4 linked regions of the Pelodiscus sinensis genome follow. The protein of the gene in region 4 purifies or fractionates together with the protein of the main gene of each other region. This does not show direct contact. Links are inferred from orthologs where the notes say so. Each region holds a gene or a part of one and is shown on either strand. Other genes may lie near its edges.

The links.
Region 1: the proteins of PPM1K (region 4) and DBT purify together in Homo sapiens (affinity purification with mass spectrometry; 4 studies listed by BioGRID and IntAct, counting the BioPlex papers as one, with this or other methods). This does not show direct contact. The link is inferred for Pelodiscus sinensis from reciprocal best matches to the Homo sapiens genes PPM1K and DBT.
Region 2: the proteins of PPM1K (region 4) and BCKDHA purify together in Homo sapiens (affinity purification with mass spectrometry; 4 studies listed by BioGRID and IntAct, counting the BioPlex papers as one, with this or other methods). This does not show direct contact. The link is inferred for Pelodiscus sinensis from reciprocal best matches to the Homo sapiens genes PPM1K and BCKDHA.
Region 3: the proteins of PPM1K (region 4) and BCKDHB purify together in Homo sapiens (affinity purification with mass spectrometry; 3 studies listed by BioGRID and IntAct, counting the BioPlex papers as one, with this or other methods). This does not show direct contact. The link is inferred for Pelodiscus sinensis from reciprocal best matches to the Homo sapiens genes PPM1K and BCKDHB.

What each region holds. Positions count from the first base shown.
Region 1 is NC_134719.1:39,208,239-39,215,484, reverse strand, and holds the start of DBT (lipoamide acyltransferase component of branched-chain alpha-keto acid dehydrogenase complex, mitochondrial), read left to right. Parts: upstream 1-4,204; 5' UTR 4,205-4,296; coding exon 4,297-4,347; intron 4,348-7,246. Other genes in the region: RTCA (RNA 3'-terminal phosphate cyclase), read right to left, coding at 1,603-1,703, 2,042-2,086. UniProt on the Homo sapiens protein: The branched-chain alpha-keto dehydrogenase complex catalyzes the overall conversion of alpha-keto acids to acyl-CoA and CO(2).
Region 2 is NW_027465992.1:100,901-108,372, reverse strand, and holds the start of BCKDHA (2-oxoisovalerate dehydrogenase subunit alpha, mitochondrial), read right to left. Parts: upstream 3,017-7,472; 5' UTR 2,935-3,016; coding exon 2,863-2,934; intron 2,151-2,862; coding exon 1,971-2,150; intron 1,576-1,970; coding exon 1,489-1,575; intron 558-1,488; coding exon 449-557; intron 189-448; coding exon 27-188; intron 1-26. Other genes in the region: EXOSC5 (exosome complex component RRP46), read left to right, coding at 3,062-3,251, 3,762-3,875, 4,257-4,378, 5,893-6,033, 6,589-6,678, 7,398-7,472. UniProt on the Homo sapiens protein: Together with BCKDHB forms the heterotetrameric E1 subunit of the mitochondrial branched-chain alpha-ketoacid dehydrogenase (BCKD) complex.
Region 3 is NC_134713.1:58,163,975-58,171,150, forward strand, and holds the start of BCKDHB (2-oxoisovalerate dehydrogenase subunit beta, mitochondrial), read left to right. Parts: upstream 1-4,158; 5' UTR 4,159-4,217; coding exon 4,218-4,380; intron 4,381-4,716; exon of another isoform or gene 4,717-4,788; coding exon of another isoform or gene 4,789-4,831; intron 4,832-7,176. UniProt on the Homo sapiens protein: Together with BCKDHA forms the heterotetrameric E1 subunit of the mitochondrial branched-chain alpha-ketoacid dehydrogenase (BCKD) complex.
Region 4 is NC_134715.1:15,139,497-15,147,471, reverse strand, and holds the start of PPM1K (protein phosphatase Mn(2+)-dependent 1K), read left to right. Parts: upstream 1-4,944; 5' UTR 4,945-5,107; intron 5,108-7,975. UniProt on the Homo sapiens protein: Serine/threonine-protein phosphatase component of macronutrients metabolism.

The sequences.
Region 1 (7,246 bases), on a different chromosome or scaffold from region 4:
CAGGGTACCTGACAGGAAAGGGAATCAAGCAGCTAGACCCAAGTGGAGGGTCATGGGGACAGATGCTCTCCTGGGTGATGCAAATTCAAATACTCTTTCCATGACAAAATACTGGTGATGTAAAGTATATATTTGAGGCTAATACATTTACATGAAGTACAACAGTAAGCAGGTTAGGTCTTTACAGAGTTTCAGGAGTTCAGTCCAGTATCCTTTCCTGACACAAAGCCCTTATCTGCTTCGATCTTTTGCTAAAAATCTCTTAATATTGCAGGAGCAATCGTGTAGTTCTAGTGAAAAGGAAGGAATACGAGTATAATCTGGCTAGAGCCTGATGGTGTTTTCAGTATTGGGCCCTGGAAACCTCAATATAGGTAGTGTTAGGTAATGTGGTACAGGTTGGACCTCCCTGGTCTCGCACCCCTGGGACATGAGCTGTCCCAGATGAAGGAGTTTGCTGGACCAGGAGATGTCAGTGCTCCCTTGCTGGCTTCCCCACTCCTGAGCTCTTCTCCTGGGGGCTCCCTGCCCTGCCACTGGCCCCCCTAACACTAGCCCGGCACGGCTCCCCACTCAGCTGCCCACCTGCTGCTCCAGGGTCTCCCGTGGTTCCTGGTGGAGACCACTTGGATGTTGCTGGCCCTGCTGCCGCAGGGTGTTCCCTGGAGGTTCCCTAGCCAGGGCGCCTGGCTGCCCGACCCAGCTGCTAGGGTTAGCCCCATTGCCGCTGGGGATTCCAGCCACCTGCCTCCACCAGGCCCACTTTAGGCCCAGGCACCCTAGCCCCACTGCCACCAGGGATTTGCCAGAACTCCTGGCCAGCGCTGAATGACCACAGGCAGCTCTGCTGCAGACACAGGTTTCCCAGCTGGGGCTGGGAATCCCTGTTCACCTGGGCCTGCTAATGTTGGGGATTCCCCAGCTGGGCCAGGAGTTCCCTGGCTGCTGTCTGGCCCGGCTAACACCAGGATCCCAGCCAGGGCAAGGGCTCCCCAAATACTGCTTGTCCCCCCCCACCTCGATGCTGCCTGGCCCACCCAGGGCTTCCCAGCCCCTGCGTTGCTCCTGCTTCCTCTGGGGCTCTTTGGTTCAGCAGCATCTATGGCGCTGCCGGACCACGGATGTTGCCAGACCAGAGAGTCCCAGATTTGAGAATTTTAATTTATAGTAAAAATGCTCATGCCCTGCCTAAGTTTAGCACAGCCAGCACTGCTATCTGAGCTGGAATTACATTAGTGTCACAATAACACAGAAGGCATCTGAGCCAATGCCAGGTGTGCTAGAGAGCAGAGCTGCCTTAGAGGCGAGCGGGAGGTTGCCAGGGGCTGTCATTTTCAAGGGGCTGCTGACAGAGCTGATCTTAGGGGCGGGCTACTAAATCGTCCCTGATCCCCCTTTTTTTTGCTTGACAAATTTTAGTCCAGTATTTTTTTAAGCCATCTGGCATCCCTACAAGAAGTGTCCTGAGGCTGCCCATTGGTTAGGACCAGCTCTACCAGAAAGGGATGTTTTCCTGCCACCCCTCAGAGCTTTACGCACAGTTTTTCCCAAACACGTTTCAAGGAGACATCTCTCAGTTCTGGGTCACTGGGGGAAGCTTACCTGAGGCCAGGCTGGCTCCTCCCAGCTCGGATCCTCCGCACACGCAAGGGAAGCCCCAGCAGGCAGCTCAAGGCCGTGGAGACTCGCAAGATCTGGCCACCCTGTGAACAGGAGGCAGGTGGTCAGCGGCCCCACGGAGCACAGGGCAGGGATGGCTGGGCCAGGGCTCTTCCTCCATCCCCCTCCTCTACAAGGCCCCCAAGCCAAGCTAACAATCCCCATCTCCCTTCCCAGCAGGGGTCCAAATCCAGCCCCTTCTCCTCCACCCGCCAGCCAGGGATCCAGGCCAGCGTCCCCCCAGCACACACTGAATCTCCTCAGGGAGCCAGCTAAGGCCGGAGCCCAGCCCGGCATTCATGCTCCCTCGCCGGGCCGGGCCCGCCCCGAGGTGCCCAGCGCGGATGCTTCATCAGGAAGGCCGGGCCGGGCTTGGACTCACCCCCTCCATGACCCCGCCATCTATCTCCACCCTGTCTCCGTCCATGGGCGACAGGGAGCCGCGGCGCCTCCACGGAAAGGCGCGGCCCAGGCGACGGGGAGTTGGCTGGGCTCTGCACAGAGCGAGGCCGCGGCGGAACAGTCTCGCTAGGCCGGAGCTGGAGCTGGAGCCGGTAACACGTGGCTGGGGAGAGTCAAGACGCAGCAGCCGGCCCCGGAGGTAGCGGCGGACTAGGCTGACGCCAGCGCTGAAACGCCACTGGCTGGCTGACAGCTGCAGCGCCGGGCCCCCTCGCCCCTGCGGCTTTGCAGCTCGGAGAACGGATTGACCCGGCCCGACTCTCCCTCGCGTCCAGCCCGCTCCAGTCCCTCCCGCGAGAGAAGCTGGGGGAGGGGGGGAGGAATAGCGCCCAGATCTTGGCTCCTCTCCTGCGACACGCAAAGCTCCCTCTCACGCTGGCACCTCTGACCGTCAGTGGGAACTGAGATCACTTCCCTTTGTTTACATTTCCGCGTTAGCAGCACATTTCACCTGTGCTTCCTTACTGACCCTTCCATCCTCCTGCAAAACCTATTCCTAGAGGCGCGGAGAAGAGCAGCAGAGAATATATCATCGGCCATATTCTAACAGCTTTTAAGCAGCTATGTGCTTTACTGTCTGAAAGCAGGCTTATGTTTCATGAGAATGTTTGTTTCTGCTGCAGGGGAACTCTGTAGCAGAACTTTAATGGACTGTAAGGAGTTTTTACATTCTGGGAGTCGAGACCACAGAGGAGGAATTGAATTCTAAAATGTAGCTTGCGTGCCACTAATGAGAGTAAGCGTCTAGATAACAACGTACTTGCTTACAATATTAAAAAAGAGAATGCTTGATTTCCAGTGCTGCAGATCTTTAATTGTAGACACTGCAGGACTTCAAGGAGCATTTTCTTTTACAATAAAGTAATCATTAAACAGTTGGTGTGGACTGGTAATGTCCAAACATTATTATAATAGCTGCACAGAAGATGAGTGCAATATGTCAACATAAACAAAACAAAAAAGGGGCATAAAATAAAGGGATATATTTCTTACAGATTTTATCCCAGTGAATTATGTTTGGGGTTGTGTATGTTTTTTAAATGTATAGTTATATTAGTATAATCTGCAGCTTGAATGCAGTTATACTGGAGTAAAAGTGCATCTACTGGTATGGCTTATTCTCCTTCCTCTACAGGAATAAACTATGTAGTCATAAACACATTTACACCAATAACTGCATCCACATTAGGAACCTAAATGTGGACAATTCCTTACTGTGTAGATACAGACAGTTTTGATAGCATGTGTGTATTTTCAGTTACTGTGAAAGCTGAAAGATTTAGCCCTGTGCAGATACAAATTTTGTTTCTGCATCCAATCTATGATCTGCAAAAGTGATCCTCAGATATCTGCAGATTTGTAAGGCTCTGTTCTGAGAATATTGAGTTAAGTAAAAATATGAATAAAATGTCACAAAGTTAGAACTAAAATGAAGAGTGAGACATGCAAACTTTATTTGATAATCTTTTAATGTTCATTATTAAATTTAAAAGGAAAATTCCATTTTACAGTCATATTTCAGTCTGACTGAATTTTTATATCTGTAGGTTAAGTCATTAAAACCCGTATAACTGACAAATCAAAGAAAACCCATCATTCCTCCTTCCCCCAAGTTCGTTAACTGTGTGCATGGACAGCATCCTTACAGGTGTTTCAATCAGTGCAATCATCACTGATGAAGACTGAGGGCTGTAATGCATTTCATCCCCCGGCCTGTCGTTTGTGTCTTTGCTATATAGGAATAGGAAAGAATCATTTCCGACACCAAGGAAGGCGGGGCCACCTTTGGTGGTGGTACGAGCATACGCATGGAGACTCTGGCACAGGTGAACCTTAGTAAAGCTTCGTGAATTCACGTGGGTAAGACGGGATCGCTTTGAAGCTGCCGATGGTGCCTTCCTCCGCCCCCTGTTTTGCAGTGCCAGTCTCCCGGGACTCCCGGCCCCTGCACTATAACCTTTGGGGAACGCCCTAGTCACAAAGCTCCGCGCGCCCAAACAAAGTGGTACCCCAAGACCTTGTCACTCCGTGCATCAACCGACTGGCTCCTTTAATGAGGGGGGCGTGGGCTAGTCCTCTACCCTCTGATTGGCTGTTGTCTGACGCTGTCCTCTGATTGGTTGACAGGTGGGAGGTGTGGGGGGCGTGAGGGGCTCCCTCTCTTTCCCGATTAAGATGGCGACTGTGAGGGCGCTGAGGAGCTGCTCGCGGACTGCGGGGCGCCTGGTAAGGGGGCGGAGTGCCTTGTCAGGGGCAGGCAGCGCGTGCACCTCCGCCTTCTCGGGTGTGTGGGCCCGTCGGGGAGGTGCTGCCCCGGGTGGGGGAGCGACCCTGGTAGAGAGACCCTGCAGATCTCTGCCTCAGTTCCCCTCTCTGCGGAGCGCCAGTGCGGGCGCGTCCCCAGCCCAGAGCCCCTGCCACAGATACCTCAGTGCAGACCTGCCCTGTCCTAACACGGCAGAGTGCCTCGCCTAGACGCCCTAGTGCCCTGTCCCAGACCCTTCCGTGCAGACCTGTCCAGGGTTGCCAGATGGTTTCAACAAAAATACCAGACACACTTGACATTACATCACAATCCACGTTGCATCTTATTTAGAAAATACCAGACATTTATATTGTCTCAATTTGTTTCCTGAACAGAAAGCTCAAATACTGGACTGCCTGGTTCAAAATCAAACATCTGGCAACCCTAGACCTGTCCTCAACATCCCAGATTCCTAGTCACTTCAGTGCAAACCGATCCCCGACACCCAGACTCCCGTCCCAGACAGACACCCGTGGGGGACCCATCCCTGTGCCATAGCCTACGTCACAGACTCCCCTGTGCTGACCTGTCTCTTGCCATAGCTCTTGTCCCAGACACCTCATTGCTGCCCCCATGCCAGAGCCCTCCACCATAGGCATCCTCATGTGGACTCCACCTCACCTCATAACCTCTCAGCCCAGATACCCCAGTATAAGTATTCCCTTACCATTTCATATCCCTTCAATAAACAAACACCACTACAAGGAAATTCATGCTTCAAATATACGTTCTCATAAGCCAGCTAGCTTTACCCTTTTTGGATAACCCTTGCATTCTTCCGTCTCGTTGCATTAGTTTACCCCATGCAGATGTCAATTATCTTCCTGTACTAATACATTCCTGTATCTTAGGTATGTCCAAGCCACACCAAGGCACACTTACTCTATATCTCTTTAATATGGTCCCTATGTCTGCATTACAACCACATTGAGTTTGTAGCTCCAGATCTAGAACAAGGAGCCTTTTGTTCAAGGTGTTTAAGCATCCTGCTTTTAATAAACATTGTAATCTCATCAATTAAAAATGTTTTTGCAAAATGATGCTCCGTATTTGTAGTTGTCTATATTATAACTTTTATTGAAGCATGTTGATGTGGGATGATATGGTTGCTGTTGTGTGAAACTTCACAAAAATGAAAGTATGATATTTTCCAGGTGAAAATCCATTTAAAATGAATATCCTGTTTTGTGAGAGAAGTGCATATTATTTTTGTCCCAACAGTGTCTCATCAGCTATATAGTTATATCCACTATAAACAATTATATCCACTTCCATCAAGTCACAGAGTTACCACTTTTTCCCTCATTTGGGATTCATTTAATGTGTTGTAATGAAGGATTTTTGTGATCATTCTCAATAGACTGTTTTGCAATCACCCATTTTTTAGACAATATTCAACACGCTTTAATTGTCAAAGCATTTTGAACACTGCAACTTTTTGTTTCTGCATGTTGTCGTATTAGTTGAACTAATCGGGTTACCTGCTTTTCATATTGGAGGAAAACTGTTTAGATAAGAGGCTCTTTTATCCATTTGCATTGGATTGACATGACTAGATAGAAGGCAAGAGGTGATCTCTTTCAACTTGTTCCCAGAACTTTAATTCAGGTTTGTACAGATCAACATCTTGAATTGTACCTTCCCAACTACCAGCCAGTGCAAAGATAGGAGCAAATGTGCTTTTCCATCTATCCCACATAGGAAGAGAGAAGTTGCATTCTCTGCTAATTGAACCTTTTATATGGTCTTAAATGATAGCTCTGAGTACATAATGGTAACAAAGCCTTAAGGGAATATGTCATCAGACTATACTGCTAGTTTCACAGTAGCAGCTGGACAGCTACAGGCAGTCCCCGGGTTACGTACAAGATAGGGACTAGGTTTGTTCTTAAGTTGAATCTGTATGTAAGTCAGAACTGGCCTCCAGATTCAGACACTGCTGAAACTGACCGCCAGTTCTGACTTACATACAGAATCAACTTAAGAACCCCAGGCGTCCCCAAGTCAGCTGCTGCTGAAACTGATCAGCAGCTGATTCCAGGAAGCCCGGGGCAGAGCAACTCTGCCTCGGGCTTCCTGTAGTCAGCGCTGGTCAGTTTCAGCAGAAGCTGACTTGGGGACGCCTGGGGCAGAGCAGCTGGGGTGCTACTGGACCAACCCAGCAGCACCCCATCTGCTCTGCCCCAGACGTCCTGATTCAGCCGCTGCTGAAACTGACCAGCAGCGGCTGAATCAGGACCTGGGGCAGAGCAGCTGGGGTGCTGCCGGGTTGGTCCAGTAGTGCCCACGGGCGCTGCAGGACCAATCGGCAGCGCCCCAGCTGCTCTGCCCCAGAGTCCAAAACAAAAGCCTTGTCTGCTGGGGGGGGGGGGAGCACACTAGCTGCGCCCCCCCCCCCCCCCAGCAGACCAGGGACACGGGGAGCAGAGCCACAGTGGCAGCAGGGTGCCGCGCCTCTGAGGCTTTGCTCTGGCAAAGCCTCAGAGGCGCGGGACCCCCCGCGGCTGCGGCTTCAGTCCGGGTGCCTGTGGTCTGCTGGGGACCGTCCCCAGCAGACCACAGGCACCAGGTCTCAAGGGGCAGCAGCAGTGGTTCCCGCGCTTCTGAGGCTTTGCTCTGGCAAAGCCTCAGAAGCGCGGGAACCCGCCCGGTGCCCATGGTCTGCTGGAGACGGTCTCCAGCAGACCAGGGGCACCGGAGCAGCTTACGAACGGGGCTTTCTCGCCCCGACTTCCGGGGCGAGAAAGCTCCGTTCGTAAGTGCGGATCCGACGTATGTCGGATCCGCGTAAGTCGGGGACTGCCTGTATAGATTGAGAAA
Region 2 (7,472 bases), on a different chromosome or scaffold from region 4:
CAGGGGAGGGGCGCCGGGGGCCTCACCTTGTGGGATCTGCGTGGCCAGCGGGGACGAGATGGTGACGAAGTGCCGGTCTCGGCAGCCGTAGTGCACGGGCATCTGGCGCCCTTTGCCGGTGTCGCTGGCGTTGCCGTAGCACTGGGCCATGAACAGGTCCAGGGGGTAGCCCCGATACATCAGCACGCCTGGGGCACAGAACCGCAGCCGGGTTACGGGGAGGCCCCGGGGCATCCAGCGAGCCCCCATGGGCGCGGGGTTGGCTCTCCCGCGGGGGCCTGGGACTCAGAGGCACGTCCCACGGCAGAAGGGGCTGAGAAGTGGCTTGGCTTTAGCCCAGCCTTCCCTGGAGGGACAGCTCGGGCGCGTGTGCGCTGCCCCCAGTGAGCACTGCATGGACGTGCGGGCGAGGTGGCCGTGGGGGTCACCCCCCGCAATCAGCCAGCACCTGCTTCCCGGTACTGCCCGAACACCAGGTCCGTGTCGTCGAGCGCTGCGGCACTGCCCACGTGAGTCCCTTCCTCCCCGTAGTTGGTCATGTAGAAGGAGATCCTGCCCTGGAAAAGGAACAAAGAATTAACTGGGGACTGGACCAGTATCCTCACCACTGTGGGGAAACTGAGGCATGGGCCAGGTCTGTGTCTTGAGGACATGCACAGAGGAGCAGACAGGAACAGAACCCAGGAATCAACTCTGCTCTAACCACTAGACACCACTCCCCTCCCAGAGCTGGGAACAACTCAGGGGTCCGGCATTAACCACTAGACTCCGCACCACCCTCCCATGCGGTGTGAGAACTGGCTTTTGACTATGAATGTGCAGAATTCGTAGATGCTTGATGCAAAAGAGGCCGTGTAAGCTGCTGATTTTACAGTTACAGTTTGAATGTGCAACCCCCGCCTGGCCATGCCTCATTCCTGTCGGGGAGGGAGGTGGACGAAGCGCGGCTCCATTTCAACAAGGCGTCAGTGGGCGGGAAGGCCAGTTTAGTGGCACGGTCAGTGCAGCACGGGACAACCCCAAGGGGACTGCTGTGATTTTAGCTAGTCACAGACCCCTCCCCCTTCCTCCCCCCAGAGCTGGGAGAGAACCCCAGAGTCCTGGTGCCCGCCTGCCCCCTCCACCCCGCTCTAACCACTATCCCCCACTGCCCTCTCCAAGCGGGGAAACAACCCAGAGTCCTGGTGCCCATCTCCCCTCTGCTCTAACCACGAGCCCCCACTGCCCTCCCCAAACTGGCAGACAACCCAGAGTCCTGGTGCCCAGCCCCCCTCTGCTCTAACCACTAGCCCCCACTGCCCTCCCCAAGCTGGGAGACAATCTGGAGTCCTGGTGCTCAGCCCTGTACTGTGGGAAATTACCCCTGTGGTGAGCTAATCACCCTAAAATCCAACACCACGGAAGCAAATCGCAGGGTGCCCAGGAACCAGCCCCAAAGCCCCTCCCGGCCTCCCCTGCCCGCCCCGTGCTGCCCCCCAGCAGCCGCACCTGCCTCTGCGACTCGTAGAGGATCCGGTCCATCGTGTTGAGCAGCGTCATGGTCTTGTAGAACTTCAGCACCTGCTCCTGGGAGAGCTGGGGCAGGAGGGGCGAGGAGCCGCAGGTCAGCGCAGGAGGGGCCGGGTGGTGGCGCTGCCCCCCAGGGCTCTGATCTCAGGGTGACTCGGGGCCGAGAAAAGCCCAAGCAGCCGAGTGGCGCTCGGGTCCCATGCCCTCGCCAGCCAGGCAGCCCGGTGTGCCCCCGCCCCCGTCAGGAAAGGGGCTGAAAGCAGCCAATGGGAGAGAGGCTGCAAGGAGCATCAGAGCGGCCAGGCTGGGTCAGACCAGGTGGCAGGACAGAAGCGGGGGGCTGGGAAGATGGGGTGTGTGTGGGTGGGAGGGGACAGACGAGGTGCCCCAGGGGGACGGCAGGAACCGCCTGCAGGAGACGGGGAGACCAGGGCTGGCTCCCTGCAGCACCTCGCTCCCACCTGGGGATCAGCATCCGGGTTGATGATCTGCCCCTGCCGGTCCATGACCCGGTAGATGGGGATCCCCGAGATCACGTTGGGCTGGATAAAATCCAGCTTGTCCACAAAGTCGGCCGAGGCGCCAGGGAACTGCGGCTTCTCCTCCAGGGAGGTGAACTCCTGCTGCTGCCGGCGTGCGTGCTGGGGGGCAACAGGGACCAGGTGAGATGGGGGGGGCACTGCCTCCGACACTTCTCCCCCCACGTGTCTGCGCCGCGGGACACCCAGCCTGAGGCCCCGCGAGCGTATGGCCAAGGTGCCCTGCGAGCGAAGAGAGCCGGGGGGGGGGGGGACTCAAAGCCGGGGGGTCACCAGCCGATTTACGGGGGAGATCCCTGTGGGAACTGAAGTGCAATCCAGGATCCACCCCGGCCCCGCCCCCTTCCCGCCCCTGCTCACCCCTCCCTCTGGGGGCAGATTTGGGGAGCAGGAGGGTTCCGAACGCAGCCTCCAGCTGGGCACCGCGACCCAGGGCGCCCCTCCCCACCCTGCCCCTCTGCGGAGATGGGGTACAGAGGGGGGGGCACCAGCGCCCCCCTTTCCTCTTCCCCGTGCAGCCAGCAAGAGGCTGCCCCCCCCGCGGGGCCGGCGCGTGATCGGCGCGTGGGGCCGGGGCGGGCGCCGCGTCCTTGCGGCGGCGGCTCAAGGCCGGGCCCGCGCGGGGGGGGGGGGGAGTAGGGGGGGGGGGGCCTTTCCTGCGCCCCCGCCCAAACCGGCCTCTGCTGGGGGATCCCGGCCCGGGGGGGGGGGGGGGCAGGGACCCCGAGCCCCGCCCCGCGGGGAAACTGAGGCACGGGGCGCGGAGCCCCCCCGCGGGCAGCACCGACGCTCACCCCCCCCCCCCCGCACTCACGGCGGCGCCCAGGCCCCGGGCCCCCCGCAGCAGCCGCCCCAGGCCCCGCCGCAGCCCCCAGCCCGCCGCCATCTTGCTGCGAAGGCGGGGCCGCCTGGAGCCCCGCCCCCCTCGCCATGGCAACCGTGATCCCGCCTCCCCGCGCCGTCCGTCTGCGCGTCACCCTGGCAACCCCCCTCCCCGTAGCGCGCCCGTCGCTATGGAAACGGGGCTCCCCGCCCGCCCCGGAAGCGGAAGTGGGGTCGGTAGGTGGGGCCGCGTTCCGCGTGCAGAGGGGGCGGTGCCCGCAGTCGCGATGGGCTCCGAGCCGGGGGGCTGCGCCCTGCGCCCCTTCTCCTGCGAGCTGGGCCCGCTCGGCCGCCCCGACGGCTCCGCCGCCTTCCTGCAGGGTGAGCCGGGACCCCGCTTCCGGCCGGGGACCCCCACTTACGGCCCCCCCCGCTTCCGGCCCGGGACCCCCACTTCCGGCCCCCCTTCTTGCCCGCCCCCCCCGCTTCCGGCCCGGGACCCCCACTTCCGGCCCCCCTTCTTGCCCGCCCCCCCCGCTTCCGGCCCGGGACCCCCACTTCCGGCCCCCCTTCTTGCCCGGCCCCCCGCTTCCGCTCGGGGACCCCCCGCTTCTTGCCCGGCCCCCCCCACTTCCGGCCGGGGACCCCTGCTTCTGGCCCCCGCTTCTGCTCATGGACCCTCACTTCCGGCCCCCTCTAAACCGCCCCCACCTGCCTGCGGCCCGGAGCTGCTCCCCCCCCCCCCCCCCCCCGGCTCCCTGTTCTCCGGCTCCTCGCCTCGGGGCCCCCCCCACCCGTAGGTCGGCCCCCCCCCCCCCGGGCCCCTCCGGGTTTCCAGTCCCGCCCCGACGCGGGGAGCGGGGCCGAGTCTGACCCGCCCCCCCCCCCCAGGAGACACGTCGGTGCTGGCCGGTCTGTACGGCCCGGCGGAGGTGAAGGGCAGCAGGGAGCTGTACGACCAGGCCACGCTGGAAGTGCTGCTCAAACCCAAAGTGGGGCTCCCGGGTAAGCAGCGGCCGCGGGGCTGGGGGGGGGGGCTTTAAAACCAAGTCCCTGGTTCTGGCAGCTGCATGTTTACAGGGCACCCTACAATAATAGGAGCTTGTAGGACGGCCGTGCAGCGGGACTGACAAAGCAGCCTGCAGCTCGCTGAGCGGTTCTGTCCCAAGCCGGGGGCAGGTCCGTCTGTCTGTCTGGCGCGTTCAGGGTCTGCTGACCTTGGGTGGGCGGGTCGGTTGTGGGGACGAGGGGCCTGGTCTGCATGGACGGGCGTGGGGGCAGTGCCTGGTATGCCGGGGTCGCGGGCTGGGTTTCAGGGGCAGTGCACAGGTGGCTGCGGGGGGCGGGTCCGGCTCGCTGTCAGCCCGCCCCCCTGTCCTTCCCCAGGCGTCTTTGAGAAGAGCCGGGAGCAACTGATCAGGAGGACGTGTGAGGCCGTTATCCTGGGCACCCTGCACCCCCGAACCTCCGTTACCATCGTGCTGCAGGTGGTCAGTGACGCCGGCTCTGTATCCTTCCCAGGCAGCAGGGGGCGCTGCCCGGCGTGTGCCGGGGGGCGCTTTGCCCGCTTGCTCTTCCATCCCCCCCCCATTGGGTGGGAGCTGCCGCCCTGCACACCCAGGGGCTTTGGCTCGCCGTCCCTGACCCCGGGGTCCCGCCCAGGCTGGAGTTGCTGGACAGCCTGCTCCCTGGCTGATCCCAGCCTCCTAGGCCAGGCAGCTCAGCGTGCGTCTGCCCCTCCCTGGCAGGCTGGGGGTGGCGGGCAGGGGCAGGAAGGACAGAGCTGCTGCCGTTCGCAGCCTAAGGGGGCAGCGGGGACCTCCCAGGCTGCCGCAGGGAAGGGAGGGGCGTCCGCAGGGGGTGCTCCCTGGCAGCTGGGGGAGGCCCGGCTGCCTTGCTCAGTGTGGGACAGGGAGCGAGCGTGCGTCCTGCGGGCCCTGTTCCTAAGGGCTCGGCTCTGTGGCTGTCCAGGCCCCTGCACCGCTCGCTGCAGCTGCGCCCAATGGAACAACCCGTGGTACCCCTAGTGGTGGCCGCGCTGTGGCAGTGGCTGCTAGGGGTGGGTTTGCTCTCTGGCCCGTGCCCAGATGGGGCTTCCTGGCAGACCCTGGGAAGCAGGGCACTGGGAAGAGGGAATGGGAGCCCCAGGTGCCCCCAGCCCAGCCGGTGCCCCTTGCTCCCCACCTGCAGCCCCTGCCAGCCCAGGCCTGCCAGTTCCCCTCACTCTCAACCCGCAGTCCCTGCCCTCCCCCTCGCTCTCACCCGCAGCCCAGCCCGTTGTGGGCGAGCACGGAGGAACTGGCATGAAGCGGGGCTGGGCAGGGCTGTGGAGTGGGTGCAGCAGCCGTTCCGGCACTGGAGGCATTGAGTTGTGGTGCGTGATGTGGGTGCTAAGTGACAGAGTCTCGGGGGGGTAGCCGGGCGCAGGGATTAGCGGCTGGCGGAGGCGGCTGGCTCAGACTGATGGAGGCAGGAGTGATGACTTAATTTGGCCTGCCCGGGGCAGCTCTCTCTTCACTCAGCCAAGTCCCCGGGGAGGGATTAGCGCTGGCAGGAAGGGCATGCGGCCCTGCGCCTCCTGGGGCCTGGCGTGGCCTTTCCACCAGCAATATCCTCGTGGGGGGGGGGGGGTTTCTGCGCGCGGGGGGGGGCTTACTCAGGGTCACACTAGTCTGTGCCAGAGCCAGGGACAGAAACCACTAGCCCCCACTCTCCTTTCCAAGTCAGCCCCTAGCCCCCTGCCCATCCTCCAGACCCTACAGAGCCCAGTGCTCTGATCTCGGCTAGGGCCTGGGGGGCGCCCGGCCCGACGGGCCCTGGTCTCGGTCGGGGTCTGTGGGCGCCCGGCCCTGGTCTCGGCTGGGGGCGCCCGGCCCGACGGGCCCTGATCTCGGCCGGGGCCTGGGGGGCGCCCGGCCCGACGGGCCATGGTCTCAGGTGGTTCTGAGGCCTGAGTCCTGCCTCTGGGGGTCGGTGGTGATTGTCTCGGCGGCTGCCAGCCTTTCCCTTGACCTGGTGCCAGCTGCTGGCCTGCTGCCTGAACGCGGCCTGCATGGGGCTGATGGATGCCGGCCTGCCCATGAAGTCGCTCTTCTGCGGGGTCACATGCGCCCTGGATGCTGATGGAGCCCTCAGCCTCGACCCTACGGCCAAGCAGGAGAAAGTGGGTGTGAGGTGGCCAGGCCGGGTTGGCGCTGCAGGGTCCTGTGGGACTAATGGCAACCTGCAGCATAACGGGGGCCTGATGGCGGGGGGGAGGGGGTCTGTGCCGCACCTGGCACTGTGCGGGGCTCGAGTTGAGCCGCAGCGGGATCTAGTGGTTAGTGCAGCAGGTGACAGCGAGTCAGAAATAGGGGAAACGTAGGCCCAGTGCGGGGTGGCAACACTGGGAGCTGATGTAGTAAAGTTGAGTTAATCTCATTTCGTGCAACCTGTGGAACTCCCTGCCGCTGGATATTGGTGCGAGCCAGCTGCCTGGCTAACAGCCCAAGGGCAGTTGTCTCCAGCATTGGGCCAGGGTCTGATAGCAAAGCCCTGAGGGAAGACTTGAGGGCTTTGGGCCGGTGGGGCTCTCTGTGCGGTGCGCAGTGGGTGGGAGGGCAGCAGGCAGGGACCGGAGCTGAGGGACCTGGTGGCCCAGGGTCACAGGAATGGCCTGGCCTGGTGGACCCGCCCCCAGCAGCGTGGGCAGACAGCTCACTCTGCCCTCCCCCTGCAGGAGGCGCGAGCCCTGCTGACCTTCGCCATCAGCAGCGTGGAGAGGCGGGTGCTCATGTCCACTACCAAGGGGACTTGCTCAGTAGAGGAGGTGAGTGGGGGCCTGGGGAGTGGGGCAGGCCAGGAGGCTGCGGCTGCTGGAGACCGGGACATGGGGTGCCCATCGGGCCGGGTGTGGGTTGGGCGGGGGGGGCTAGGCGGGCAGCCCTGGTGTCTCCCCGAGGCAGCAGGGAGAGGGGGTTGGTATTCCAGCCCCCACCCCTTCCTGCCGGCGGGCTCCCGGCGCGTGGCCGAGCCGCGAGGGGCATGATGTGTTTGGTGTTGAGTGCCCCAGGCAAGCGGGTTTGTCAGGAGACGTCTCGCCTGCCTGCCTGGAATCCCAATGAGGCTCTCTGCTTGCCAGCCTGTGCCCCGCTGTGGGGGTTGACTGCGGGGCGGGGCGGGGCTCAGCTCGGACCCCCCGCTGCGGGGCTTGGACCGGCCGAGCAGGGGTCCCTCTGCCTTTGCTCCCGGCTTTCCAAGCGCCAGAGGCGCCAGACTGGAGCCTGCTACGCGAGGCCTCGGCCCCCGGCCCAGCTGCGCCCCAGAGACTCCCCCCGGGCATGGGCAGTGCGCTAGTGCGTGTTGTGATGGTGCACGCAGGCCTTGCCGTGCGAGCACGTGGCTTCCCAGGGCACCCTTGTGACTGCGCACGCTGCTGGGTAGTGCGTGGCTGTCACTTCGTGTGTACACGCTCGTGGCTGCGTCGTGGCTGCGTGGCGCTCCAGGCCCGCTGGGGGCCCCTTCACGCCGTCTCCCTGCTCCCCACAGCTGCAGAGGTGCATCGCCGCTGCCCAGCGAGCCGCCGACGCCGTCTTCCGCTTCTACCGGGACTCCATCCACCGG
Region 3 (7,176 bases), on a different chromosome or scaffold from region 4:
GTCTTAATTCTCAGGTGTACTTTTGTATGGCTCAACTATTTTAATAGTCAAATTATAGGCTTAAACCAAGGGTAATCTGCGTGATTCACATTGAATTTTCCTCCATCTTCTTTTGGGCTATGTCTACATTGGCATGATCTTGAGCAAATACTCTTTAATGCAAGAGTTCTAGCGTTAAAGTATTTGCGCAAGAGAGCGTCGACACTGGCATGTGCCTTTGCGCAAGAGATGTGCTTTTGCGCAAGAGCATCCGTGCCAGTGTAGATGCTCTCTTGCGCAAGAAAGCTCCGATGGCTATTTTAACCATCGGGCTTTCTTGCACAAGAAATTCATGTTGCCTGTCTACACTGGCCTCTTGCACAAGAACAGTTGCACAAGAGGGCTTATTCCTGAGTGGGAACATCATAATTCTTGTGCAAGAAGCACTGATTTCACACATTAGAACGGCAAGATCGTGCCAATGTAGACACAACCTCACTGTTTATGGAATTTTCAACCCCTACTGCAAAACTACTTGACGCTGACAACTTTATAATTTTGCTCATCAATGCATATATTATGTTTCATTAAAACTTGTTTTCTTAATTTTTCAACTCTTAATGCTCAGCTGTTAGTAGTCATGATGCAATCTTGTACAATCTCTTCACATAAATAACTTGTCATAATGAACCTTTCCCCCCATTTTAAAAAAACCTACTGTTAACTTTTATTATTTTTATCTGATGCTCTATAAACTATATATTTATTTTAAAGTAAATTCCACTTTTTATTCATTCACTGCCTGTATCCCACACTAGCATAGTCAGATCAGTAACCACACTTGGTTTACTTTTAGTGCTCCATTTTTACAGTGCCCTCTTTTTATTGTTTTATAACTTTTAAACTCATGCCAACATTATCAAAAGTAACATCCTAACTTTCTGGTTTTACTCAGACTATTAATAGAAAAAATATTATTTGTATTGTGGTGGAGCCCTGCTGTGTGTTTAGTCTATGTGTAGACCTGGTAAGACAGTCCCCAACCCAAAGACTTTACAATGTAACCTGATTTAGGAAACCACTTAAGCCTGTACTGATGTTTCATTTAACTCAATGAGATATAAGTATGTGTTTAAATGTTCACCTGAACTGGAGTTTAAGATCAGAGTTAACTGTGTTTAATGACACTCGAGAAAATCCAGAATAATGTTATTGGACTTGGCACTGTTTGTAATGAAAGCAGAATCCAGCCTCTAATTACATTTTTCTTTACTTCTCTTTAGTGTGAAAATACACTTATTGTAAAGAGGGGGCTTTGGACACTGAAAGATTATATGTAAGCTAGTAGTACTGGAACTCTTATGACTTGAAGAAGTTTTCATATAACTACCTAGTGGCGTTGCTTTAAAAAAAATCAGGAATCTTTTCAGAGTTTTTCCTTTCTCTCTGGGTTTTTTTCCCCTTTTCAATATAGGATAGAACTGCTGATCAAGATGAGGAAAAAAGGAGGATTGAAGAGGTTCCAAGAAGAAGCTTAATCAGCTACCGTGAATTAAAACCATCAAACTGTTCTTTGTTGCTTTTCACCCTTCTATATTTTTATGGTGTTTGTCTCCTAAATTGTGGAGGGAGTCAGAGGAAGCTAGCTAATTCACATAAAGAAATAACTGCTTGCTGGATTTTTTTTCAATGTATTTGAAAATCTAGGAAATTAGGTGAGATGCTTTATTAATCAGGTTGGCTACTTCAGTAAAGTTGCAAAGTCAAACACTCAAAAATTAGGAACTACCATATTAAGGATACTTGGAAACTTTAATTTCCCAACTGTTTGCAAGGTATTAGTACTCAATTCTCTGATCACCTACTATATTTTCATAAGGACACTCAATCGTGCCAGTCCCAGGATCTATCCCTCCAGGTTCTTTATCCAAAGCCAAGACCCACTTTCCTCCTCCAGGCTCCTTCTATTAATCCCAGTTTCCCTCTTTAGAATCCTCATCCCAATCTCTCCCTCACAGGCTTCTTCTCCAGCTGGTCCTTATCTTCCTACTCATTTCCATGGTTTCTCATCCATCCTGTGCACCCAAATCTCAAGCTCAATGTTGCAATCTGTTTCCTTTATCACTGCCTACTGCACTGCATCTGGCATTTCTCTCAGCATTTGAGTCAGGCTTCTTCCTGTTCTATGTTTCCTGAGAGCTAACTGGTAGAGCACTGAGAAAACAGAGGAGTGGGACTTCCAGCTTTCAGTTCTGGTGCCACAGCAGCAATTACAGTGAGAAATCCCACCAACTCTAAACAGCCCCCTATGGTGTAGGCATGTGCATAAGAGTTTTTCAAAGAAAAGATGGTCAGGCTCTTTTTTAAACATAGTGAAAAATACATTGTTTTGCAATCCTTTTGGAAGCAGCAGAGTTTTTGCTGGAATTTTCTAAATAAATAATTCAGCCTGAGTACAAGCTCAAATGGTTTGTTTCTTATGGCCTTGTCAGTCTTTAAACAGAGCTTTATAATGGGGAAGGTCAGGCAACCTTAACTTAGCTAGTAATGTTGCATATAAAAACCAAGAGTATATGGTGAGATTTTTGTTCCATTAAAAGATTTAAATTTCAGTTCCCTCATTACCAGCAAATGCTGGATAGAATCATAGAATTGGAAGGGACCTCAAGAAGACATTGAGATCAGACCCCTGCCCTCATGGCAGGACTGAGCACAGAGTGGCCCAGCTGGTCGTGAGCATATGCTCAGCGCTGTGCACATGTGCTGGGCGCTGTGGGCGGAGTGGCCCAGCTGGCAGTGAGCAATTGCTGCGGCGCAGTGCCCAGAGCGGCCAGACAGCTCTGATCGCACTCAGCCACGTGCTCCGAGTGTCCAGTGTGCCGCACTTTATTCTTTTATAAAATGTAGTGGAGGGCCACAAAAAACTTCTATCGGGCCGCATGCGGCCCTCCAGATGCCTGTTTGACATGCCTGATCTAGATGGTGCTTTGGTCCTGCCATGAGGGTAGGGGACTGGACTTGATGGCCTCTTGAGGTCCCTTCTAGTTCTAATATTCTATGATTCTATATATTCATGAATGTTGCATTTGAGTAATGTTCCTTTAATGGGGTGCTAGTAATAATTTTCTGTGCCTTCTTTACTCTGACAACTAAATTATCAAAAAACTTAAGTAACAAATCTGCGCCTTAGAGACTATCAAAATTTGTAGATGTTATCACGAGCTTTCATGGGCACAACCCATTTCTTCAGATGAGTTATCTTTTGTATTTTAGTAATCTTCCTTGTTCTAAATTTGGTACTACTTATGGTTAGGGACAAAAGACGGGGATCATATGGCTAAGCACTGTGAGGATCATCCGACCATTCTCCCAGTGCAGTAAAGTTTAGTCTTACAATTAGGAGTGAACCTCAACCAAGACTCTGGAGATGAGTAACTCTACAGCCTGAGGGTATTTAACATTCATTTCCAGCTAGGACTTCTGCATAGGGCTCCCATATTTATAATGGCATCAGAAAAATTCTGGAATCTGTTGTTGCACTCAAGGTAGACTAAAGTCCAAATACCGCAGACTGAAACTCCACTTACTGAAGGATCCACGCTCCTGCAATCAATCTAGTAAAGATCCCTCAATTGAACACTGGGTGCCTCTGTTAACGTTTTTAATCCTGTCTCAACTTGCAAGGAGTTAGGGAAGCTGATGGGAGAGTTTCTTCCATCCATCTCCCGCTGTGGAACCACTCTGGAAAAATCGATGCACGGTACCTGGACTCCAACTATGCAAGCTGGAGTTACCTATCTTGCATGGATTTTTCCACATCCCTTTTCTACGCATTCCCCAGCTGGCCTCCCGCCGGCCCGCCCCAACCTCGCCTGCCTGAGGCCGGCCCCGCCTGGGCGCACGCTCTGCCTCTAAATCAGGGCTACTCAACACGCGACCCGTGTGTTCGCGGTGCAGTTGAACAGCCCAGCTCTAAGCCAAGGCAGTCTAGCCCCGCCCACTCACAGCTTCGCTCCTCCCGCTTCCCTCTTTCCCCACCCCGCCGAGTCTAGGCTCGCCCGCCTTCCTTGTACGCGTGCGCAATAGAGACTCCTCTCCCACGCCCACAGCATCGCGGCTTCTGATTGGTCCGTTCTCCGTCGCCCTGCGGGCCAATAGCAAATCCCTACTCACACCCCGCCTCGTTACAACGTGCTGTTGCTGTCACACCTGCTTCCTGAGTCGTGACCCGCGGGGAGATGGCGGCGACCGGGCTGTGGCTGCGTCGGGCGGCGGGACTCGCCTCTGGGTCGGGGCCGCTGCGGGCCGGCGTGTGGGGCCGGCTGCTCCCTTTGGCGCCCGGGCCGCGGCGGCACGTGGCGCATTTCACGTTCCAGCCGGACGCCGAGCCCAGCGCGCACGGTGAGAGCGGGGCTCAGCCTGGCGCCCTGCCTCGGAGAGCGGCCGGCGGGGGGCATCGGGCGCCCGGCGCAGCGCTTGCTGCTCTGCGGCCGCTTGTCCGAGGAGTCGTAGCGGGGAGCCGCGCCCCTGCCCACCCGCTGCACCGCCGGCGCGGGGAGGCGGATCCCGCTGGGGTCGGGCGCTGAGTTCCCCGCGGGTGCCCCCTGCCCGAAGCAGCCGATTGGTGCGGGAACTGCCTTTTGGGGTGGGGGAGGAGAGGGCTGAGCGTTCCCCCCCCCCCCACCCTCCTTTCCTGCTGCCGGGCTGCTTCCGAGCCTCGTTGTTTTGTTGTGACAGACCGGCACGAGTTTGTGGCGCTGGAAGAGTCACTCGCTCACCTGAACTGACCTAGAGTTGAAAGCAGGTGGCATGATTTGGTGTTGGGCCACCAGGATCCGGAATGAGTCACAAGGTAGAAGGGTTAACCGCTTCATTGCTACTTTTGAGTTAAAACTTGTTTTCTCTGTGTCAGACAGTGTAGAAGTGTGACACAATTGCATTTTAACTTCAGAAGCCAACACTGATCAACAGAAGGGGAAAACAATAATTTAAAAGGCATAGAGACTTTTTTTTTTTGTTGAACAGCTTAATGTGAGACTTCAGTGCAGTTAGCTACCTTATCTCTTATTGGTTCTGCTATAAACAAGTCTTGGCAGAATTTTTTTCTTTTTTGTATTCCTGATTCTTAATTTTTTTTGCCAAGTCTTATTTTGATAGTTATTGGATGTTAGGGGTTGGTGTTGGGGTTGCAGCTGGGGCAGTGCTGACTGAAGGGCTGTAAGGCGCTTGTTGTAAGGCTGAAGTGCCGGAGACACCTGAAGGACAGGAGCAGGATTCTTGTGCAGTGGAGCAGAAACCTCCAGAAAGGGCTGTAAGGAGGAAGATGAGCCCATGGCTCTGTGGGGGTCTTTGCTGAACAGCCCTTATCCAGGGATGGCCCCTGTACACTAGGGATGTAAAAATTCCTTTAAAAAGGTAACTGTGTAACCACTAAAAATCTTAATGGTTACATGTTGTAGGCTCTGCTGTATAAAGCTTAAATACATTTTATACTGCAGAACCCACACCAAAGCTTCCTACCTGAGAGAGTAAGGGCTGATGGCCCTGCTCCTGAGGAGCTAAAGTGTAACTTGTGGCAGGAGGGCCAGGCTGGGCCTATCTGCAGGGGGACCTGTGGAGCTGCCTCGGTATAGTTTTCAGTATCTGCAGGTATGCTGAAAATGAATACTATGGATTTAGCTCAGTGTCTTGGCGTAGTATTTCTAATGAGTTCCCATACTTTTAATGTTCAGCTGTCCTGGCATGTACCCATTTTCTGTAGAATAAGCCCTTCTTCCATATGAATTTCTTTGCTGCTCTGAAAAGGGGTCATTTGGTTGGTTACCTTGGTTTTAGCTCTTTCTGCCCTCAGCCTTCCTTGCAGTCAATAAGAGAGAAGGACACTTAGGATACAGGCAGTCCCCGAGTTACGCGGATCCGACTTACGTCAGATCCGCAGTTAAGAACGGGGTTTGCTCTGCGTCCCCCTGGTCTGCTGGAAACCAGCAGACCAGGGAGATGGGAAGCAAAGCCTCGGAGGACGCCGGCAGCGGGACAGCCCAGACGTGCCGCAGCTGTCCCGCTGCCGGCGTCCTCCGAGGCTTTGCTCCCCATCATGCTGGTCTGCTGGAGACCAGCAGACCAGGGAGACGGGGAGCAAAACCGCGGAGCACGTGTGCAGCAGGACAGCCGTGGCGCGTCTGGGCTGTCCCGCTGCCCCCGTGCTCCGCGGCTTTTCTCCAGACGCCTGTAGTACAGCAGCTGGGGTGCTGCCGGTTGGTCCCGTAGCGCCGCTCTGGGTGCTACGGGACCAACCCGGCAGTGCCCCAGGTGTCCTCATTCAGCCACTGCTGGTCAGTTTCAGCAGTGGCTGAATCAGGACGCCTGGGGCAGAGCAGCTTGGGTGCTCCTGGGTTGGTCCAGTAGCGCCGAGGAGCAGCGCTACTGGAGCAACCCAGCAGCACCCAAGCTGCTCTGCCCCAGGCGTCCCCAAGTCAGCCGCTGCTGAAACTCACCAGCACTGACTACAGGAAGCCCGAGGCAGAGTTGCTCTGCCCCGGGCTTCCTGGAATCAGTAGCTGATCAGTTTCAGCAGCAGCTGACTTGGGGACGCCTGGGGTTCTTAAGTTGAATCTGTATGTAAGAACTGGCGTCCAGATTCAGCCTGATGAAACTGATCAGCGGCTGATTCCAGGAAGCCCGGGGCAGAGCAACTCTGCCTCAGGCTTCCTGTAGTCAGCTGCTGATCAGTTTCAGCAGCGGCTGAATCTGGATGCCAGTTCCGACTTACATACAGATTCAACTTAAGAACAAACCTACAGTCCCTATCTTGTACGTAACCCGGGGACTGCCTGTACAGCAAAATCAGGATCTAGGTCAATCTATGAATAAATAAACCTCAGGTTGATATGTAGGAGGATCTAATGGAAGGGCCACTGTGAGGAAGCCTTTTATTGTGTGAAACAATTCATTAGATGGATAGAAAACTTTTGATTTGTTTTTAAATCACACCAGACATGCAGTATGAATTTGTTTTCGTAGGAGATGGTAAGTGTGAACTGTGATACTGATGTTGATGCTGCCATTGCACAATAGATTTAAAAACAAAATTTCTACTGCTTTCTCTTCAGCTATATTCAGAGCTCAGATACAAAAGGTGCAATTTAGTTCCCTTTTTGAAGGAGTTAAATGGAACCTTTTAGGTACTGCAAGTAGTAA
Region 4 (7,975 bases):
AAGCAAGAGGAAGAATACACTGCTGGAAGAGATGTGCACGGAGCATGAGGAAAGGATACCCTGCAGGCAATGGGAAGTGAGGCACCAAGAGAGAATGCTGGCATTCATGGTGGATGTGATGGACCAGATTGTGGCACTCCAGGACTCCATCCTGGACTGGCACCTCCTCTGGCCCTTGTGGACCAATGTTCCCTCTTTCCCAAGTTCCATAGCCTCTTCTCCTCCGGGCCCAAGAGTTTGTGTGGGGGCAGGGAGTCAAGGGCAGCGTCTTATTCAGTCCCAGGGATGCATCACAAACCAAAAGGCTGCCCTTCCCAACCTGAAGCTCCCGCCCTGGTGTTTCTTTTTGTGCAAGGGGTTTTTGCACAAAAAGAATCAGTGTGGACTTTTTTTTGTGTGCAAAACCCCCGTTTTGCGCAAGATTCTTATGCCTGTCCCGGAGAGGAAAAATCTACATCAGAAAGAAAAAGCTTCGTTCTAGTCAGATGTAGATGAAAAGCCTGCCCCACAATTACCCAGTCACAGTTGGGGATTGAATTGAATCCCAAAGTGAGTAACAAACAGGATACAAAGGCCCTTATTCACAAAGGCAGATACAATTCTCTGCTCCTATGTCTTTCAGTTCCTTTCCACAAGCCACCACTATTCCCTCTGTTACTGAGCCTCAGAGAGCTTGCTCTCATCCATGCCCTGGAAACGTCTCTTGGATGAGACAGAAACACAAGCCTGGGTAGTATACACATAATGAATGAAGACACCACAACCTGTATTTCCTTGTTAAACCTCACACCAGCCTCAAATAGCTGGTAAACAAGAAGCCAATAGATGGGGAAATACAAATGTAAAAAGCACAGCACACAGAGTCAAAGGTAAAATTACTATTCAGAAAAACGTGTGAATTATGCTCATTTAAGAGCTGTATATGATACAGCTTTGAACAGTAACTATAGATCACAAGCATGTTCTTTCCCAGGGTATATAAATGAGAAGAAAAAAAATGTTATTTTCTTTGCAGCCATTGGCTGAGAAGTTGACCAATAGCAATCCCAAGTCAGTGCCTACACCCATCTGCATACTGTTTCATAAGAGGGAGGTGCATGCTTGTTTGTATGGAAAGAAATCTGGCAGGCGTTGATCTTTCGTTCCATGCATTACAATCATCTCTACTCAGTGATTTATCTTCAGGTTTGGAACTGAAAGCAGAGGGAGCAGATTTGCAGATTGCAAACAAGACATGGTCTAAAGAGGGATGGGACTATTTTAAAGGACTGTATATAACACAGATTGTCCCAAAAATTGCTTAATTAATGCTTAGTATTGAATAATGCTCTCTAACAAATTGATGAAGAGCAGCTGCTATGGATACATTTTAAGAGCCTGTTTTAAAATATTCACCACATATTATTAAAAGAATAATTTCCTACCATTGAATTACAACTGCCTGAAGATTTTAGCTGTCAGCTAAAATACAATTCTTACAATGGTAAATTAACTTTTAAAATAGTGTTTATAATTTCTCTCAGTAGATTTAATTCCACATTTTGAACTCAGAGTCACCTGGGTAAATCTGTAGTAACTCCATTGAAGTCAGGTTACTCCTGATTTACAAAGGCCTCACTTAAATCAGAATCTGGTCTATTGTATTTCATCTACATTAACTGATGCTGTAATTTAGCACAGCATTAATATATGCTGCTTTTACAGCAACAGACAAGGTTTAGAGAGAATTTCAACTTAAGACAGTTAAAACGCTACTAATGGAGTAAGTGTGGATAAGGTCCTAGATGGAGAGTTTTCTTTCCAGATCTGCCAGTGAACTGCTATGTGACTATTGTAAGTTACTGTGCCTGCATTTCCTCTTCTACTTTTTGTCTGTTTAGGTCAGTGGGACTATTTAGCTTAGGGTTAAGCATATTATTAACTGGATCAGAGATTTAGACTGTGAACAGGTAAGGGCAGGGACTGTCTTTCAGTATTTGTTTTTACAATGCCTAGTACAAACAGGGGCGGATGAGAGTGCCGCGGGGCCCAGAGCAGCACCGCGGGGCCCAGGGCAGCGAAATTTTGCGGGGCCCCTTCTTTGACACGGCGCATGCGCGGGGCCTCAGGAAGCGCGGGGCCCGGGACAGCCGCCCCGCCCTAAATCTGACGCTGAGTACAAAAGTGCACCAGTGTCAGTTGTTGCCCTACCTGCTATTGTAATACCAATAACAACAATCTTTGCTTTGAAATTTAACCCCTTGTTTTTCATCACTACACCACTTTGATATATTTCAAAGAGGAACGCTCCTGTCAGGAAAAATTCCAGGTTTTAGGATCCCATATTAAGTAGTTTCCGTAGAGGGGTTATTTTCTTTGTGTTATTTACCCATCGATTCAGTGAATGCTAGAACCATGGAAATAAGTTGTAAGAACAGAGAGTTTCATTATTCTAGAAGTATCAGAGGGGTAGCCATGATAGTCTGAATCTGCAAAAACAACGAGAAGTCCTGTGGCACCTTATAGACTAACATTTACTGGAGCATAAGCTTTCGTGGGCAAGGACCCACTTCGTCAGATGCATGTGGGTCTGATGAAGTGGGTCTTTGCCCACGAAAGCTTATGCTCCAATAAATCTGTTAGTCTATAAGATGCCACAGGACTCCTCGTTGTTTTTGATTATTCTAGAAGATTTACCAGCATGGATTCAATTCTGAATGCTGACAAGGGTGTGTATCTTCAGGAAACCACATAACATTCTGATGTATCTTGGCTATTGCTATGGCTGTTTAACTCTTGTTTTACAGGAAGACCATGGGAATGGATTCTATTAGAAGACTCTTTGCCTGAATTTCTGCCACTTGGAAACCAGAAGTAAATACATTTAGTAGCAAAGACTTATTGTTATGATGAAAGTGCTGATTCCATGGCTGATGCTAAGCCTATTTAGCTGTACATTTCAGGATTTGGAAGAGGGTCATCTGACATTCATGTCAGATTCAGAGCAGAGAGTAAAGCTGGCATTGCAAAAGAAGATGATACTTGTGGGTAACTCTGAAAAAGGAGAACAATTGCATTGTGATGACTTTGCATGTACACATATATGGCCAAGATCTTTATAGATAGAAACCTCTTTAAGGCTCTATTGTTTTAATCTATTGTCACGTGTGTCTTATGATGTTTTATTACTCTTCTCCAGAAATTTAACACAAAATGGGCTAGATTTAACTAGTGCACCTATATTTTCTTTGGTGTACTTACATCAGATCCTACCTTTAAACATAGTTACATAGGTCAGTTGGAAGTGTCGAAGCAAAAACACGCTTTTTTGTGTTTAGGCAGCTAACAAGCAGCTTTATTAATTAATAAAGCACAGCATGAGCCAAACGTGGTTACAGCAGAGCCAGACCCAGTAAAGCTGCTAATACAATTAATTTTAGTATTTTTATACCCTTAACCAAACAGTTTGACATTAGGGCATTTAATTACAGAAATTTTTAATTAAATTTGGAAAAACAAAGCCTTATTAATAAGATGGCGGACAGGTGCGAGGGAGTACATTTTTTGTTTCAACCAGCCCAATTAACACATACCAATAGTTTATTTTGTAGGCCTTTTTTTACGGGGTGACAGAAAGTTTACTTTGGTTTACGTGCTTGAGAGAAAAGCTGAAATGGTTTTTGATATATAAGATGGCTTTTAGCTAAATATGAAAATGGTTTTTACAGCTTTTACAGAAGTAACGGAGATCAAGTTACCACAGGGGTGTAGCTGTGGGTGGGCCTGAGTGAGCCATGGCCCACTCACTTACATGCAGACTCAACCCCAGCTCAGTATCTGCCAGCCCTGCCACCATGCTCTCCTGCCAGCAGCACTGTGCACTGCTACTTCAGTCTCTGGCCCCAGCACAAAACACAAGGGGAGGCGCATCAGGGCAGGTCTGAGTGAGGCTAGTGCTGAGGTTGAAAACTGGGGCAGCAGCATGTTGTTGGGGCTCCCCTCTGCCCCATGGCCTAGCTTTTAGCCACTGCACAAAGAACAATTTAATCTTCCACTGGTCTCCTCTCCAGCCTGATACAATTCCCGATGCACTCAACTTCAGAGCCTTACACTTAACCCTTCACTAGTCCGTTGGGGCCAGAAGTGGGAAAGAAAACTACTCTCCCAGGAACAAAAGACAGGACTATGTAGCACTTTAAAGACTAACAAGATGGTTTATTAGGTGATGAGCTTTCGTGGGCCAGACCCACTTCCTCAGATCAAATAGTGGAAGAAAATAGTCACAACCATATATACCAAAGGATACAATTTAAAAAAATGAACAAATATGAAAAGGACAAATCACATTTACCCTTCCCCACCTCTAATATCATTAACTCACAGACATTCACCTTCCTTCCCCCCCCCCCCACACATCCCTCTTCTGTTCTGAAATGTGATTTGTCCTTTTCATATGTTCATTTTTTTTAATTGTATCCTTTGGTATATATGGTTGTGACTATTTTCTTCCACTATTTGATCTGAGGAAGTGGGTCTGGCCCACGAAAGCTCATCATCTAATAAACCATCTTGTTAGTCTTTAAAGTGCTACATAGTCCTGCATTTTGTTTCAGCTAGAACAGACTAACACGGCTACATTTCTATCACTGCTCTCCCAGGGATAGGAATGCTGTCACTTCATTGCCATGCCATGAAACTAAACCTAATCCCGCTCTCCCCCCTCGCGCTCCCTTCCCTTCACAGCGGTTTCAATCCAACGAGACGTGGGAGGATCAGCAAGCCACTCACTGCCTCGAGAGCAAGGCTGGGTCCCGGGCCAGGGGAGCGGGAAGGAGGCTCGTTCGAGTTCTCAGATGCCATTGGCCCTTGCAGAGAAATGGGGGCGGATGCGTTCCTGCCCCATCCCTGGTCTATTGGCTAAGGGAGCTGCCAGCTTGACGGGGAGTCGGGTTTCCTCCTTTGCGGAGGCACTTGCAATAAAAGGTTCTAGAATTTCGCCCGGACGGCCGCGGCAGGGGGATCGCTCGCTCGCTCGCGCCGGGTGGCTGGCGGAGAACACGCCCGCTCCCTTGCGTGCGCTGGAACGAAAGGGCGAAACAGCCTTTCCCTTTAACGGGCTCTCACCCAGGTAAGAGCGGCGCTGAGCCTGCCCCTCCGCTGTGTCTCGGAGCCGCCTGGCTGCTGGCTCCGAGTTCTTCGTCCTGCCACACCACCCAGCCACGTCTGCACGGGCATGAGCTCTGCCGCTCTTGACCCGCATTTTTGTGTGCTTAAAAATCAGTCGGGATTCCCCCATTTTGTGGGGAAATGCACCTGGCTGCGGTGACTCCGCAGGCGCGCACAACGCTCCCTGCGGAACGGACGGCCCCGTTTTAATCCGGTGACACTTTCCCGGCTCTAGTCGCCTGTCCCCTCGGTGGCGTGTTGGAGGCACCGCGCCGCTGAGAGTTGCTCTTCAGGGAGGCGATCGCTTGGGAGTGACGGGCCGGTGGGCTCCTTATCTCGGTAGCTGCTGAGGCAAATGGCGCTGCCCTGCAGCACAGCAGGGCAGGAGCGATGGCGGATTCGGCGCAGGGTAGAGCCCTGCGGGTTTTAGACCGCGGCCCGGAGGGCTCCTTAGTCTCACAAACAACCCGGATAGTAATTGGGAGGGGGAATTGCAGGATGGGGGCGCGTTCCGCCTTCCCGCAGCAAGGCGCTGGCAGCTGGGCTGGGGGTGGGGCTGCTGCGTGTAGTGAGCGCGAGCCTTGCAGCTGCCAGTGCTTTCCTTAGAGCCTTGCCCTTGGGGCTTGTGCCTTTGCTACCCTTCCAGTGTAGGTCAGGTAACCAAAGCAGCCTCCCCTGCCCAGTGCGTGTCACAAGTCAGTACCCAGTTCCCGAGTCCCACCCACCGTGCTGTTTACTTGTGGGTTGCTTGCACTAGCAATCCCTTGCCACTCTCTGTGCTCCCAGTCAGAACAATTCAAGACTTGGAAAACCTTGGACGAGCCCTAGTATAAAATCAATTAATTGATGCTGAAATATAAGAATAATATTTGGTTTAGCCCCCAGCGAAGGGGTAACACGATTTAACGAGGACGCACTATTGAGTCAGCGGAAGCAGATTGTAAATTCTTGTTTCTAACCTAAGTAGTTTCTGTGCCTGCAGAAGTTGGCTCCTGCCATGGGTATCTGCTCTTAGATTAGTCATTTACCAAAAAGTGATTGCTGAGTGCACTACTTGAGAAAAGCATGGTGCAAAATGGGTTTTGATAAGGGCAGCAAAAGGAGAGAAATTTTGAATTTTTAGAAAGTTTTTGGCTTTTCTAGACTGGTATTAACAGGGGAAAGGGAAATGAAACCTACTTTCCTCTCATTTGTTTCCTTCCTTGAAGACAAGCATGCTGCATGCTAGGAAGAAGAGTTATTTTTATTACTGTAATTCTCATAGCTTTCCAATTTTATGTAAACACTAAGGATATGTCTACATTGTGCTCTTGCACAAGAACATATGCAAATGAGGTGCAGCGATGAATATTGCCATGTGTTATTTGCATACTTAATGAGGCTTTTGTGCAAGAAGAAGCAGTCTACACTGCTCTTCCAGAAGAGAGCATCTACACTGGCGTCTGCTTTTGCACAAGAGCGTCCATGCCAGTGTAGAGGCTCTCTTGTGCAAGAAAGCTCTGATGGCTGTTTTAACCGTAGGGCTTTCTTGAGCAAGAAATTCATGTTGCCTGTCTACACTTGCCTCTTGCACAAGAACAGTTGCGCAAAAGGGCTTCTTCCTGAGTGGGAACATCATAGTTCTTGTGCAAGAAGCCCTGATTTTATACAGTAGAACGTCAGTTTACTTGCGCAAGAACACATGGCCAGTGTAGACAGGCAGCAAGTTTTTGCGCAAGAGCAGCCGCTTTGGTGCAAGATCGTGCCAGTGTAGACACAGCCATACGTTTTAGAGTCTGTCTATGTAGATATTGCCTCTCTGGTAATCCCTGTTCTCGTGGCATAATTTCCCTCTTGATTTATGCAACATAATATCTCTTTTATGCAGGTTTTCTCTGAGTTCAGAACCATAAAAGGATTTAGAATAGTGATAGAAATGTAGCCGTGATAGTCTGGTGTAGCTGAAACAAAATACAGGACTATGTAGCACTTTAAAGACTAACAAGATGGTTTATTAGATGATGAGCTTTCGTGGGCCAGACCCACTTCCTCAGATCAAATAGTGGAAGAAAATAGTCACAACCATATATACCAAAGGATACAATTAAAAAAAATGAACACACATGAAAAGGACAAATCACATTTCAGAACAGAAGGCGAATGCGGAGGGGGGGGGGGAAGAAAGGTGAATGTCTGTGAGTTAATGATATTAGAGGTGGGGAAGGGTAGATGTCTGTGAGTTAATGGTATTAGAGGTGATAATTGGGGAAGCTATCTTTGTAATGGGTAAGGTAGTTGGGGTCTTTGTTCAGCCCCCTGCGGAGAGTAACAGTTTCTTGCCATTTCAACCAGAAAGGACACTGTCTCAATGACCTACTCACCTGCATCCTACTTCAGAAGACATTCAAATCTGCACTTGAAAGGGAATCCTCTGAACTGGCATTCATGCTAAAATTCGACACTCTGCAGGGGGCTGAACAAAGACCCCAACTACCTTACCCATTACAAAGATAGCTTCCCCAATTATCACCTCTAATACCATTAACTCACTCTCCTCAGCAGCCTCTGTCCGCAGGGAGCACGGACACCTCCCGGACAGGGACTGCTGCCACCCTGTGATGCTGCCTCTGTATCAGTTACCCGATATCTAACATCCTTAATCAGGTTTAGAAGAGCAAGCATCTCAGAAGGACTTGAGTTTCAATAACATAAATCAACACTTGGAACTCTGGAAAACAAACTCTGGTACAGTAGTAATCCACTTCTAGATATCGGGTAACTGAATAGTTGAGTAACCCCATGAATTCTTATCCATTACTTGAATATTCTATAGTCCCTGGGGGCGGGGGCA